Linked DNA regions of Macaca fascicularis. The protein of the gene in region 1 purifies or fractionates together with the protein of each later gene. This does not show direct contact. Links are inferred from orthologs where the notes say so. Each region holds a gene or a part of one and is shown on either strand. Other genes may lie near its edges. The genes, in order: PRKCQ, CHUK and IKBKB.

What was found.
Region 2: the proteins of PRKCQ (region 1) and CHUK purify together in Homo sapiens (affinity purification with western blotting, with the first as the bait; 3 studies listed by BioGRID). This does not show direct contact. The link is inferred for Macaca fascicularis from reciprocal best matches to the Homo sapiens genes PRKCQ and CHUK.
Region 3: the proteins of PRKCQ (region 1) and IKBKB purify together in Homo sapiens (affinity purification with western blotting; 4 studies listed by BioGRID). This does not show direct contact. The link is inferred for Macaca fascicularis from reciprocal best matches to the Homo sapiens genes PRKCQ and IKBKB.

The regions. Positions count from the first base shown.
Region 1 is NC_088383.1:7,442,394-7,446,047, reverse strand, and holds part of PRKCQ (protein kinase C theta type), read left to right. Parts: intron 1-1,842; exon of another isoform or gene 1,843-2,033; intron 2,034-2,185; exon of another isoform or gene 2,186-2,209; 5' UTR 2,210-2,218; coding exon 2,219-2,336; intron 2,337-3,654. UniProt on the Homo sapiens protein: Calcium-independent, phospholipid- and diacylglycerol (DAG)-dependent serine/threonine-protein kinase that mediates non-redundant functions in T-cell receptor (TCR) signaling, including T-cells activation, proliferation, differentiation and survival, by mediating activation of multiple transcription factors such as NF-kappa-B, JUN, NFATC1 and NFATC2.
Region 2 is NC_088383.1:109,168,936-109,172,589, forward strand, and holds part of CHUK (inhibitor of nuclear factor kappa-B kinase subunit alpha), read right to left. Parts: intron 3,528-3,654; coding exon 3,413-3,527; intron 2,729-3,412; coding exon 2,659-2,728; intron 900-2,658; coding exon 811-899; intron 1-810.
Region 3 is NC_088382.1:45,826,552-45,830,205, forward strand, and holds part of IKBKB (inhibitor of nuclear factor kappa-B kinase subunit beta), read left to right. Parts: intron 1-2,519; coding exon 2,520-2,627; intron 2,628-3,654.

The DNA.
Region 1 (3,654 bases):
ACTTTGTGTGTCTTCTTTATTTTTCATCATGATCAACTAAAAAGCACTCTGAACAACAGAGAGAAAAGCACTCTGTGCAGTTCAGGTGTAAAATGCTGCCATCTGCCTGAAAAACTCACACCTGGGCTTGCAGTTCTATTGAATGATGTGTGAAGATTACCACACAACCACCTATTCTGTCTTCTAGATGTCAAGTGTATGTCAGGTCACGTCTGACATACATTTCTAAAGGTCTGTGACCAGACCTTTAGAAAGAGGGATACTGACTTGGCTGTCAAACAGAACATACATGTGTTGGTCAAATCATCAAAATGCTTAGAAGTAACAGAATAGCGCAAGTGAATCTGGTGAAATGGCTGTTTAATCTGCATTGCTTATTAAGGAAGAAATCATTGTCTAGGCAAGACCTTCAGGAGGAGAGAGGGTTTTGCCCCAACTCTCTTCCTTGCTGTAATGGAAACCCTGGTCACCCTGGAGGTTTCCATGTCTTCCTGAGACAGCATTTCCCAGTCACCTGCTGGGCTGCTGTTGCCTGATTAGAAACCCAACCTAGGAATAGCAGAGTGACACCAGAAAAGGCCAGAGTGCTTTAACTCAGGCTTTATGAGTCAGTGATCCCTCTAGACTCAAACAGAATTAAGGAAATCTTCAAAAAGTCCCAACATGGCGATCACTCCCATCACTGAAGATGATTCTCAGTGATTTTTCCTGATTTGTGGAGAAATGAAGTTTTGTCTAAAAGACCCAAGTGGCCCAGGAAAGAAGAGATTCTCAAAGAAACTCTCTCCGGAGAATTCATAGCTGTTAGCCCCACTCCTGCCTGGGAATTCTAAACTCATAGGGCAAAGGGGGCCCCCTAAAGACAAATTTGTAAGTCATCTACCTGCTAATTCAGCAACGTGATAGATACGGAACCCAGCAAATCATGATGTTTACCCAACCGTCTCCATTAGATAAACCTTCCAAACTCTACAGGAAATTAGGACTTCATTAATATCTGTGAAATTAACAGCACCTGTCAAAAGCTCCTAATTTGTCTCTCTTGTAGAATCAAAGAACACTGGCATTTAGCACACAAGAGATACCTTTTGGCTTAGCTAGATGGGGTATTACAGGTCCAAGATTTCCAGGTATGTTACAGATTCTCACTTCCAGGTCTTTATTATTTCAAACAGTTTTCTTTCTTTACACAAAGGCAGAAAAGACAACCAATGGTTTGTTTCTTATCTTTGGCTTACTTATGAAAACTTAGAAAAACAAGTATAAGTATAAAATGGTCAAGAAGAGAGACAGAGCAAGGAAGTAACTTTTTCACTGAATACCAGATGATAGTTTCAGATTAATGGGACCTCGGGAAAGTAGGTAAACAAGAAGGGGTATCTAGTTTATATAAGTGGCCAGAACACTCAATAATGGAACAATAGGTGAAGAATTAGACTAGATTCCTGGATTTGTAGCCAACACTTTGATAACTATCATCTAAACCTCTTGGAAAGCATAATTACTGATTTTGGGGCTTTTATGAAGTATTTTGTTCATCCTTAGATGATAAAGTCCTATTTTATAGTAGTCAATGAGTTTAGAGTTTTCTATGTGGTTTGTGATGTACAAAGGCTTAGAGTGTGTGTGTGTGTGTGTGTGTGTGTGTGTGTGTGTGTGTAACTGTGAAGAAAGCAGACCTTTTTGAAAATGTCTGAAGTAAATAAGGATCAGCTGCTGAATGCCTTGGGCCAATCCCATTACACACATAAATAGACCATGTAAGAATTTTGCGGTGTCATATTTAACTAGTGTGACTCAAATAGACTCGCTCTTTATAAACTCATTTTCTGATTACTGTGTGCTGTTTCCGGGGCACCTACTTGAATAACAGAAGACATAAAATGTTGGAAAACCTTTGCCTCACTCTCCAACCATTGGGCCTAACTCCATTAGGTTGAGTGGAATTAACTCTTGAGTTACTTCTTACTAGCGAAGTTGAGTTCAGACTTTCAGAAAGCCTCTCCCCTCGGCAAGTCAGTGTGTGGTTTTGGGTGAGTCCAGCAGTGTCTTCTGCAGAAGGGGAAGTGAAAACGTTTGTTCAGATGGATAGTGGACCTTTGTGAGGTTCTGGCTGTCCATGATAAAGCACTGGCTAAGTAGACGTGGGACACCAAAAACAGTATCTTTTATAGCCCCCAAACAGCATTTGTCTTGTGTCGTTTTCCAGGGTGCAACCATGTCGCCATTTCTTCGGATTGGCTTGTCCAACTTTGACTGCGGGTCCTGCCAGTCTTGTCAGGGCGAGGCTGTTAACCCTTACTGTGCTGTGCTCGTCAAAGAGTATGTCGAATCAGGTAAGTTTGAGTGGGTTTTCAAAGCAGGGGAGGAGGAGGAAAATCCTGCTATGAACTATGTATAAAGCAAGGTCTTCCAGGACATTTGACATCATCTGGTGGAACCAAATCCTACCATTTAGGACACTGATGACGCCCAGCAAAGCCAAGGGCTTCCTTCTGGACACACATTTTGTGATGGACTCTAAACCAGGACCCGATGGCCCACCGGTGGCTCTATTACACCGTCTCATTTTTCCCACATATACAAAAGGAAAGAGACAGTTGGGTTGAGAAAATTACATAAGGAGTTAATGGGAAGGAGCTCTAATGAGCTGAAGTAGAACATGGCCCTATGTGGTTAAGCCTGGTTACTTTAAATAAGTCTAGGTAGATTAAGACTGCATAATCTTCCAACCAACTCTAAAGACTACTTACTGCTGCTTTGGCAAACTTCAGTGGATATTACAAAGCATCTATAATTAGCCATTAGAGTCCAAATTTCAGAAAACGTACTTTCGCACTCACTAAGGTCTTGGCTGAATGGAAGAATCGTGATGTTTCATCAAGTTTAAATATTTACAGGCAGCTCAAGGTGAGGGGGAAAGTGGGACAGCCACCCAACGTCCCATTTGTGGGTTCAGAATGTTCCGTTCCAACAGCCTTATGTGTAGGGAATTTCTCTGTGGGCACATTGACCAGCTTCCGCTCTCTGAGAGCCTCAGCTCCGCATTGTAAGTTTGCCGTGGATTTCCAAAGGAAAAGTAGGAGGGAGTTTAGATCCCACAACTCTCCTGACTGCACACCTTTTCTTGTTTCCCTACGTGCATTTTGATTTTAGTAGACACTTTGTAGAGAATGATAATGACAATGGATGCAGGCTTGCAGTAACTGTGGAAGCCGTCACAGTTCACTTACACAAAAGTGTTTACAGAGAGACCACTGCAAGAGTGCTGGGGCCAGAGCATAGAGGGAAAAAAAGTCAACTAAATAAGCAGAAGGAACTCAGGAAGACTGCCTTCCCTTTAGAGCATCTATTCTTGCAGAAGAAAGTGGCAATAAACAAAAATACCAACAGCAGGTAATGAAGGAACAAAAAGCAGTGTAAAGAAGAGAGGACTGGGGGCAGGGATGTGTGTTATCTTATATAGGGTTGTCCTGCAAAGGCCTGTGAGCAGGGACATTTGCAGATGCAAGAAGAAACTGACTCAGATGTTGAGAACCTCCTGCCAGATGCTCACAGTTCACATTTAGGGGTTCCCAAACCTACTATTTTGCATCCCCCACCAAAAGACTTTTTGCTTCACAGCTGACTTTGTCCTTCCAGCCACTCTGAACA
Region 2 (3,654 bases), about 100 Mb from region 1:
AATGTGAGTAAATACTGAGATCTAACTTCAAGAATGTCCTGAAGTCTTTGGATTAAAAAAAAAAAAAAAAAAAAGCAGAGATATTTGGTGCCAAGCATACACGAAAGGCTCCTAAGAGAAGAAGCATCACGAAGGTTCCAACACCCCCACGAGACCAACAACTATCTTCACTAACTGAAAAGACAGCACACACAACTCAACCCAAGGCGCAGACTCTTGGCTTTTAAGTCTTTACTGGAATGAAATTTGGACGCTGGAAACAAGAAAACTGCTTAAAAGTTACTAATTAAATGAACATTTTAAGAGTCAATTCACAATTTCTGGTTCTTCTCCAGATAACTCATCTAAATTGGGGGAAGGAAAATAAGTTTTAAAAATATACATACTTTCTTTTTTTCTTAAAGTGAACCCAGGATGTGTGTGTATGTGTTTTGGATGTGCTTCATAAGAATAAAATAGTAAGTGTTAACATATTATGTATTCACTGCCAGTATCTTTGCTAGATACTATGCTGGAAAAACAGACATGAACAAGACAGGTGAAGTCTAGGAGCTGCGTTAAGTATGAAAAAAAAGAAAAAGAAAAAGAAAAAGAAAAAAAAGACAGGTGCAGTTCCTTCTTTAATGGAACCACTGTTTAGCAGAAGGGACAAAAAACTAAACACAAAACTACAGTTCAGTGTGGTAAGGTCTGAAATGGAAAAAGTAAGAGTGTTACGGGCATACAGCAAAGACACCAAAGCTCAAGGACTAACTATATCAGACAGACTATATTCAATAGGCATGAAACATTACTTCAGGTTTCACCTACCTTTCCACCAACGTCCTGAAGAACTATGTTTTCAGGTTTTAGATCTCGATGTATAATTTTGTTTTCATGCAAATATCGAATCCCAGACCCTAAATAAAGTTTAAAATACACTTTGAAGTAACAGAAAGCATTGAGTTAAAAGAAAAATTCACCTCACATTTTGTACAAATCTGCTCTGATGCTCAAGTTTATATGGATCATCGTAACTACACAACTAATATTACAGTAGTTCAGGTTTTCTTCACAGAAAAACGTAACATTAAGCAAATACTACAAAATTATACTATATGTTCATCTAACTCATTAGAATTAACATTAAATAGAAATGCAACAAGCAATTGGGAAAATCCCTGTAATTCTAATAAGCCCCCTTCTCCCACCTAAATCAACCATTTAAATTGGACTTTAGCTCTCATGACCTTGGAAAAGAGGCAAAACCAAAATCTACGCGGAAACAAATTTTTGGTTTTTGAGGTTCCTCCAAAAGGTTAGGTACTGGTTATTTTAGGAATTTTTCTGGAGTCATTCTGATTAAGCAGAGATTTTTCACCCCAAGAGTTGACTTGGCCGGGCGCGGTGGCTCACGCTTGCAATCCCAGCACTTTGGGAGGCCGAGGCGGGCGGATCATGAGGTCAGGAGTTTGAGACTAGCCAGGCCAACACAGTGAAACCCAGTCTCTGTTAAAAATACAAAAATTAGCCAGGCATGGTGGCGGGCGCCTGTAATCCCAGCTACTCAGGAGGCTGAGGCAGGAGAATCACTTGAACCTGGGAGGCAGAGCTTGCAGTGAGCTGAGATCGTACCACTGCACTCTAGCCTGGGTGACAGGGCTAGACTCCGTCTCAAAACAAACAAAAAAGAGTTGATTTGAGGACCCATCTCTCAAGGAGATGCAATTCCACTGTAAAAAAAATTACTATGTCAATGGTGTGGGAGGAGTGAAATTGAGTAAGGTCATTTTGCATGATTTTTTTGTCAGCTATTGGAACACCTATTAGATTAAAAAAGGACTCCTAGCCAAAAATAAATAAAATATCCTAGTTTGTGTGTGTGTGTGTGTGTGTGTGTGTGTGTGTGTGTGTGTGTGTGACAAAAGTCTCACTCTGTTGCCCAAGCCGGAGTGCAGTGGCCCAATCTCGGCTCACTGCAACCTCCACCTCCTGGGTTCAAGCAATTCTCCTGCCTCAGCCTCCCGAGTAGCTGCGACTACAGGCATGTGGCATCATGCCCAGCTAATTTTTCTATTTTTCTTTTTATTTTTTTGAGACGGAGTCTCGCTCTGTCGCCTAGGCTGGAGTGCAGTGGCGTGATCTCGGCTCATTGCAAGCTCTGCCTCCTGGGTTCACGCCATTCTCCTGCCTCAGCCTCCCAAATAGCTGGGACTACAGGCGCCCGCAACACACCCAGCTAATTTTTTGGATTTTTTAGTAGAGACGGGGTTTCACTGTGTTAGCCAGGATGGTGTAGATCTCCTGACCTTGTGATCTGCCCGCCTTGGCCTCCCAAAGTGCTGGGATTACAGGCATTTTGTATTTTTAGTAGAGATGGAGTTTCACTATGTTGGCCAGGCTGGTCTTGGACTCCTGACCTCGTGATCCGCCCACCTCAGCCTCCCAAAGTGCTGGGATTACAGGCGTGAGCCACCGCACCCTAGGATATAAAAATATCCTGGTTTTAATTTAGCATCAACAGTAATAGATTTATATGATAACTTCTTATAGATGTTGAAATTCTATAGACTTTGTACAGTGTATCAACAATTCTCCTGAATTCCCAAAAAGGTACAGAATCTTTTATGGACCAAAGGGGCATTACATCACAATGGTATTTTAATACTGATTACATACCTATATCACTTAGTAAAGAAAGTATCTGGCTTTCTTTAAGTCCACAACAATTTTCTGGTTTGTTGAGCAGCTAAAAAAAGAAAGAAATCTAAAAATGTGTTCTGCAAATTGCTGGGCTGTAATAGTGACCACACATTAATTACTATACTCTAAGAGAATATTCAATGAGAAAGTAAGTCATAATAAAATACAAGGGAATACAATTACCAAATCCATACTGACGGCATGTAAATTTCATGATAAGGCTCATAAAAGTAAAAAGAAGCAAAAAGCACTTGAAACTGGAAAAGGCTGACAAATCTCAGGGATATATATATAAATGGTCATATGGGCACATTTAAAATTAGCTAGAAAAGAAAGATTGCAATACAGAAAACAACTTTTTACAAGCACCTTAACCACTGAAAATTTCATCTAATACCACTGCTATAGTCCCATCAAACAGCAACAACAAAAATGCATTTTCTAAATCAGGAGTCAACAAACATTTTCTGTAAGGAACCATATGGTAAATACTTTAGGTTTTGCAAGTCACATAGCCTCTGTTAAACTACTCAATTCTGCAGTCATAAGAAAGCAGCCACAGACAATGTGTAAAGAAATGAATGTGGCTATGTTCCAATAAAACTATTTACAAAACAGGAAGCAGACCATAGTTTTTCCGATTCTTATTCTAGTTTATTATATTTAATATGATTCAAATAATGCTAAAGTTTGTGATTTACTATCTCTCATCTCAAAACATCCACACTACCTTTCGGAGATCTCCTCCAGAACAGTATTCCATTGCTAGAAGAGGCACATCATGAATCAAAATATTCAATTCTTCAGGAACATCACAGGCCTTTACAACGTTGGCATGGTTCAACCTAATAAGAAAGAAAAACATTACAATAAAAAATTTATTTCCAATAAAAAGGGACTGGATTTGAAATGCTACTTAATTGCAGGTGGATGAACAGAGGGGGAAAGATCGGTATTATTTATAATACTCTA
Region 3 (3,654 bases), on another chromosome or scaffold:
CCAAAAAAAAAAAAAAAAAAAAAAAGAAAGAAAAAAAAGAATAAAGTGTATCCTTTGAAATCAATTCCAGAAAAGTGGTCTTAGGTGATGGCAGTCTGTTCAATTCCACGTTTACCTCCCAGTGAGGGAGGTCCCTGCCCTGAGTTTGGAGAAATGGCAAAGTTTGCCCCACTGTGGTGACTTATTTTAAAACAGGCATTGCTCCTTTAGCTACATAGGTTCTGGAATATTGAGGAATTTGTTCATTAATTTATAGTCACACTTTACAGTGTACGCATTATAAAAATCGCTTTAAATTACATGTACATCTATAGTGTTTTTTTGTTTTTGTTTTTGTTTTTGTTTTTGAGACAAAATCTCACTCTGTTGCCCAGGCTGGAGTGTAGTGGCATGATCTGGGCTCACTGCACATCTATAGTGGTTTTAACTAAAGGAATTATTGCATTTCTTCTGATCACTTGTTGAGCATTTCTCTTATTTATGACAAGATGAGTTAAAATCCATTAGAACTAGAAGAGCAGGTGCTTTTTGAAAATACATTCCTAATGGCCCAGCATCCTCGTAGGAAATCTGTTGTCTGCAGAGCCATCTTCCTAGAGCTTCCCTTATCAGCACTGGAGGGCCAGGTGGCCAGTTTCAAGTAGATTTTTCTGAAACCCAATAAGGAGCTGTTTTGTGGACTAATCTAGTTTTTAATGCTTTGGGCAACTTTTTAAAAATTTCACTATCTTGTCTCAGATGGCAGGTAAATAGTGATTTCCAGACAAATGCAATTTGGGCTTTACAATTCTATTATAAAGCCACTTTGAAATACATTTTAGGACAAGCCCCAGCAATAAGCATCTTATTTTGGGTCCTTTTTAAATTTCCCATCAACAACTTAAGTTTTCTGTGAGAGGCTTATTCCACACTTAGATAATTAGAAAGTCTTGGAGCCCCCGACTTACAGCTGTCAGTTTCAGCCCAAGCGGTAAAGCACCAGCCTCTGCCATGCTCCGGCTCTTCTAGCTTTCCAGTGTGCTCCTGATAGGCTGGTTCACCACTTGCCAATGAAAATTGTTTGGAGCAAAGCATTTTTTATTTGAATTTCCCAGATGTTTTGAGAATAGTTGGACATTCAGACAGAATAGAAAGAACACCAGACATTGGGTTTGAGCCCCTGATTCTGCTACTCTGTTGCGTGACCTTGGACAAATCATTTGATCATCATTTCCTTTGGTCCAAATTGGGGGACTAAAAATAATGTCTGCCACATGGGCCTGTCATGGCCTTAAGTGAATAAATGATCTGTGTCAGAATACTTGGTTATCTATGAAGTATTATTCAAACTACTCTTCTTATTACCAAGATTTGAAGCCAGTTGCATGTAGATTATTTTTATTGGCCAGGCACTGTGGCTTACCCCTATAATCCTAACACTCTGGGAGGCCAAAGTGGGTGGATTGCTTGAGTCCAGGAGTTTCAGACTAGCCTAGGCAACATGGCGAAACCCCATCTCTACAAAAAATACAGAAATTAACTGGGTGTGTGGTGCACACCTGTAGTCCCAGCTATTTAGGAGGCTGAGGAGGGATGATTGCTTGAGCCTACAAGGTTGAGGCTGCAGTAAGCTGTGATTGTGCCACTGCATTCCAGCCTGGGTGACAGAAAAAAAAATTATTTTTACCTTCAAATACTACTTCAGATACCCCAAGAAGTTCCCTAAGTTGGGAAATGTATAAGTTCATTTATCCTTAGAAACAGTATTTAGCTGTGTACATTTAGAGGGAAGTATCTATGTGTGTGCGTAGGTTTTGCATATTTTATGTAAATGTTGTATGCATACTGTAATCTAGGTTTGGAAGTCCCAGTTTTAACCTCTGTCAAAACACAAGAGTGTGTAGTAGATGAAACAGAAGATAGAGCAAATGAGAAGGAAAAACCAAGGATGAGATAAGGAGGCAGTAGTACTGTCTGCAGAACTCTGGGCACAAGATGGTCAGTGACTCTGCTAAAGGTTGCTTTTCAAAAACTCATTCAGGCAGTCCTGACCAGTCTTAAACTCTCAAAGAATCCGCCTGACTCAATGTGAATGAAAAGATTGGGGCTATAAATCTGTATAGTTGTAAACTGATATTATAAATGTAAAGTGGCTCTTGAGTGCTAAGTGTCATAGGGATGTGTATAACTGTATATTTCATTGACATCCCAGTCAACAATTGACTGCATAGATGACAGTGGTCTCATGAGATTATAATACTGTATTTTTGCTGTACCTTTTCTGGGTTTAGATATGTTTAGATACACGAATATTTATCATTGTGTTACCCTGGCCTACAGTATTCAGTACCGGAGCATGCTGTACAGGTTTGTAGCCTAGGGCAATAGGATGTACTATATAGCCTAGGTGTGTAGTAGGCTAAACCATCTAGGTTTGTGTTCGGTTCACACAACGACTAAATCACCTAATGATGAATTTCTTAGAATGTGTCCCTGTCATAGCAACGTGTGACTGCACCTAACAAGATTCATATTTGCAGGCATTCGAAAGTCCGGCAGAAGAGTGAGGTGGATATTGTTGTCAGCGAAGACTTGAATGGAACAGTGAAGTTTTCAAGCTCTTTACCCTACCCCAATAATCTTAACAGGTAAGGCACAGAAGCATTACACGAATACATATTTTTCTTCCCTTTTTTAGAAATACAAGTCTGGACTGGGCGTGGTGGCTCACGCTTGTAATCCTAACACTTTGGGAGGCCAAGGTGGGTGGATCACCTGAGGTCAGGAGTTCAAGACCAGCCTGGCCAACATGGTGAAACCCCATCTCTACTAAAAATGCGAAAATTAGGAGTGGTGGCACACGCCTGTAATCCCAGCCACTCAGGAGGCTGAGACAGGAGAATCGCTTGAACCCGGGAGGCAAAGGTTGCAGTGAGCTGAGATTGCACCATTGCACTCCAGCCTGGGTGACAGAGTGAGACTCCATCTCAAAAAAAAAAAAAAAAAGAAATTCAAGTCTGAAGTGACATCTGATAACTTTTAAACAGGTTATCAGAATATCGTCCTGTGAGTAAGAAATTGACATAGTCCTTCTTAATCTTAAATCTAGAATGGGTTTCCTTCCCTCATCTCCCTAGAAATCATCTCTTATTCTAAGTTCACATAACAATTTATCTGTGCCTCTTATTACCCTTAATAGCCTCTACCTTGTATCACATTTGGTTTTGCATAGGGTTTGTCTCTGATTCAACAGCAGTCCTTTTAAGGGCAGGGAATTATACCTTATTTCTCTTTCTACCCCTCATGTGGCCCAATTCTGTGTCACAGTCAACAAATAAATCTTTGTCATTTGAATGGCATTACAATCCAGTCTCAGAGCCAGAATCTAAACAATTAATAATATTGTGTAATTGTACAGAATTGGGTAACAGTGCAAAAGAAAGCTACGAGGCAGTCACACATAATTGAGTGGCATGGATAATGATTACCATATTTAAAGGGTGGAAGAGAAGATTGGATGTACTAGTGCTATAAGGAATGACGTGGGATAAGCTAGAACTTTTTGGAAGGGTCTAGACAGATGTGCAGGACGTGGACAGATGAAGAGGAAGGAGGAAGGAAATTCTAAGGGGAAAGATTAAAGTGAGCAAGGCACGTTTGGGAGGTGGTGGGTAG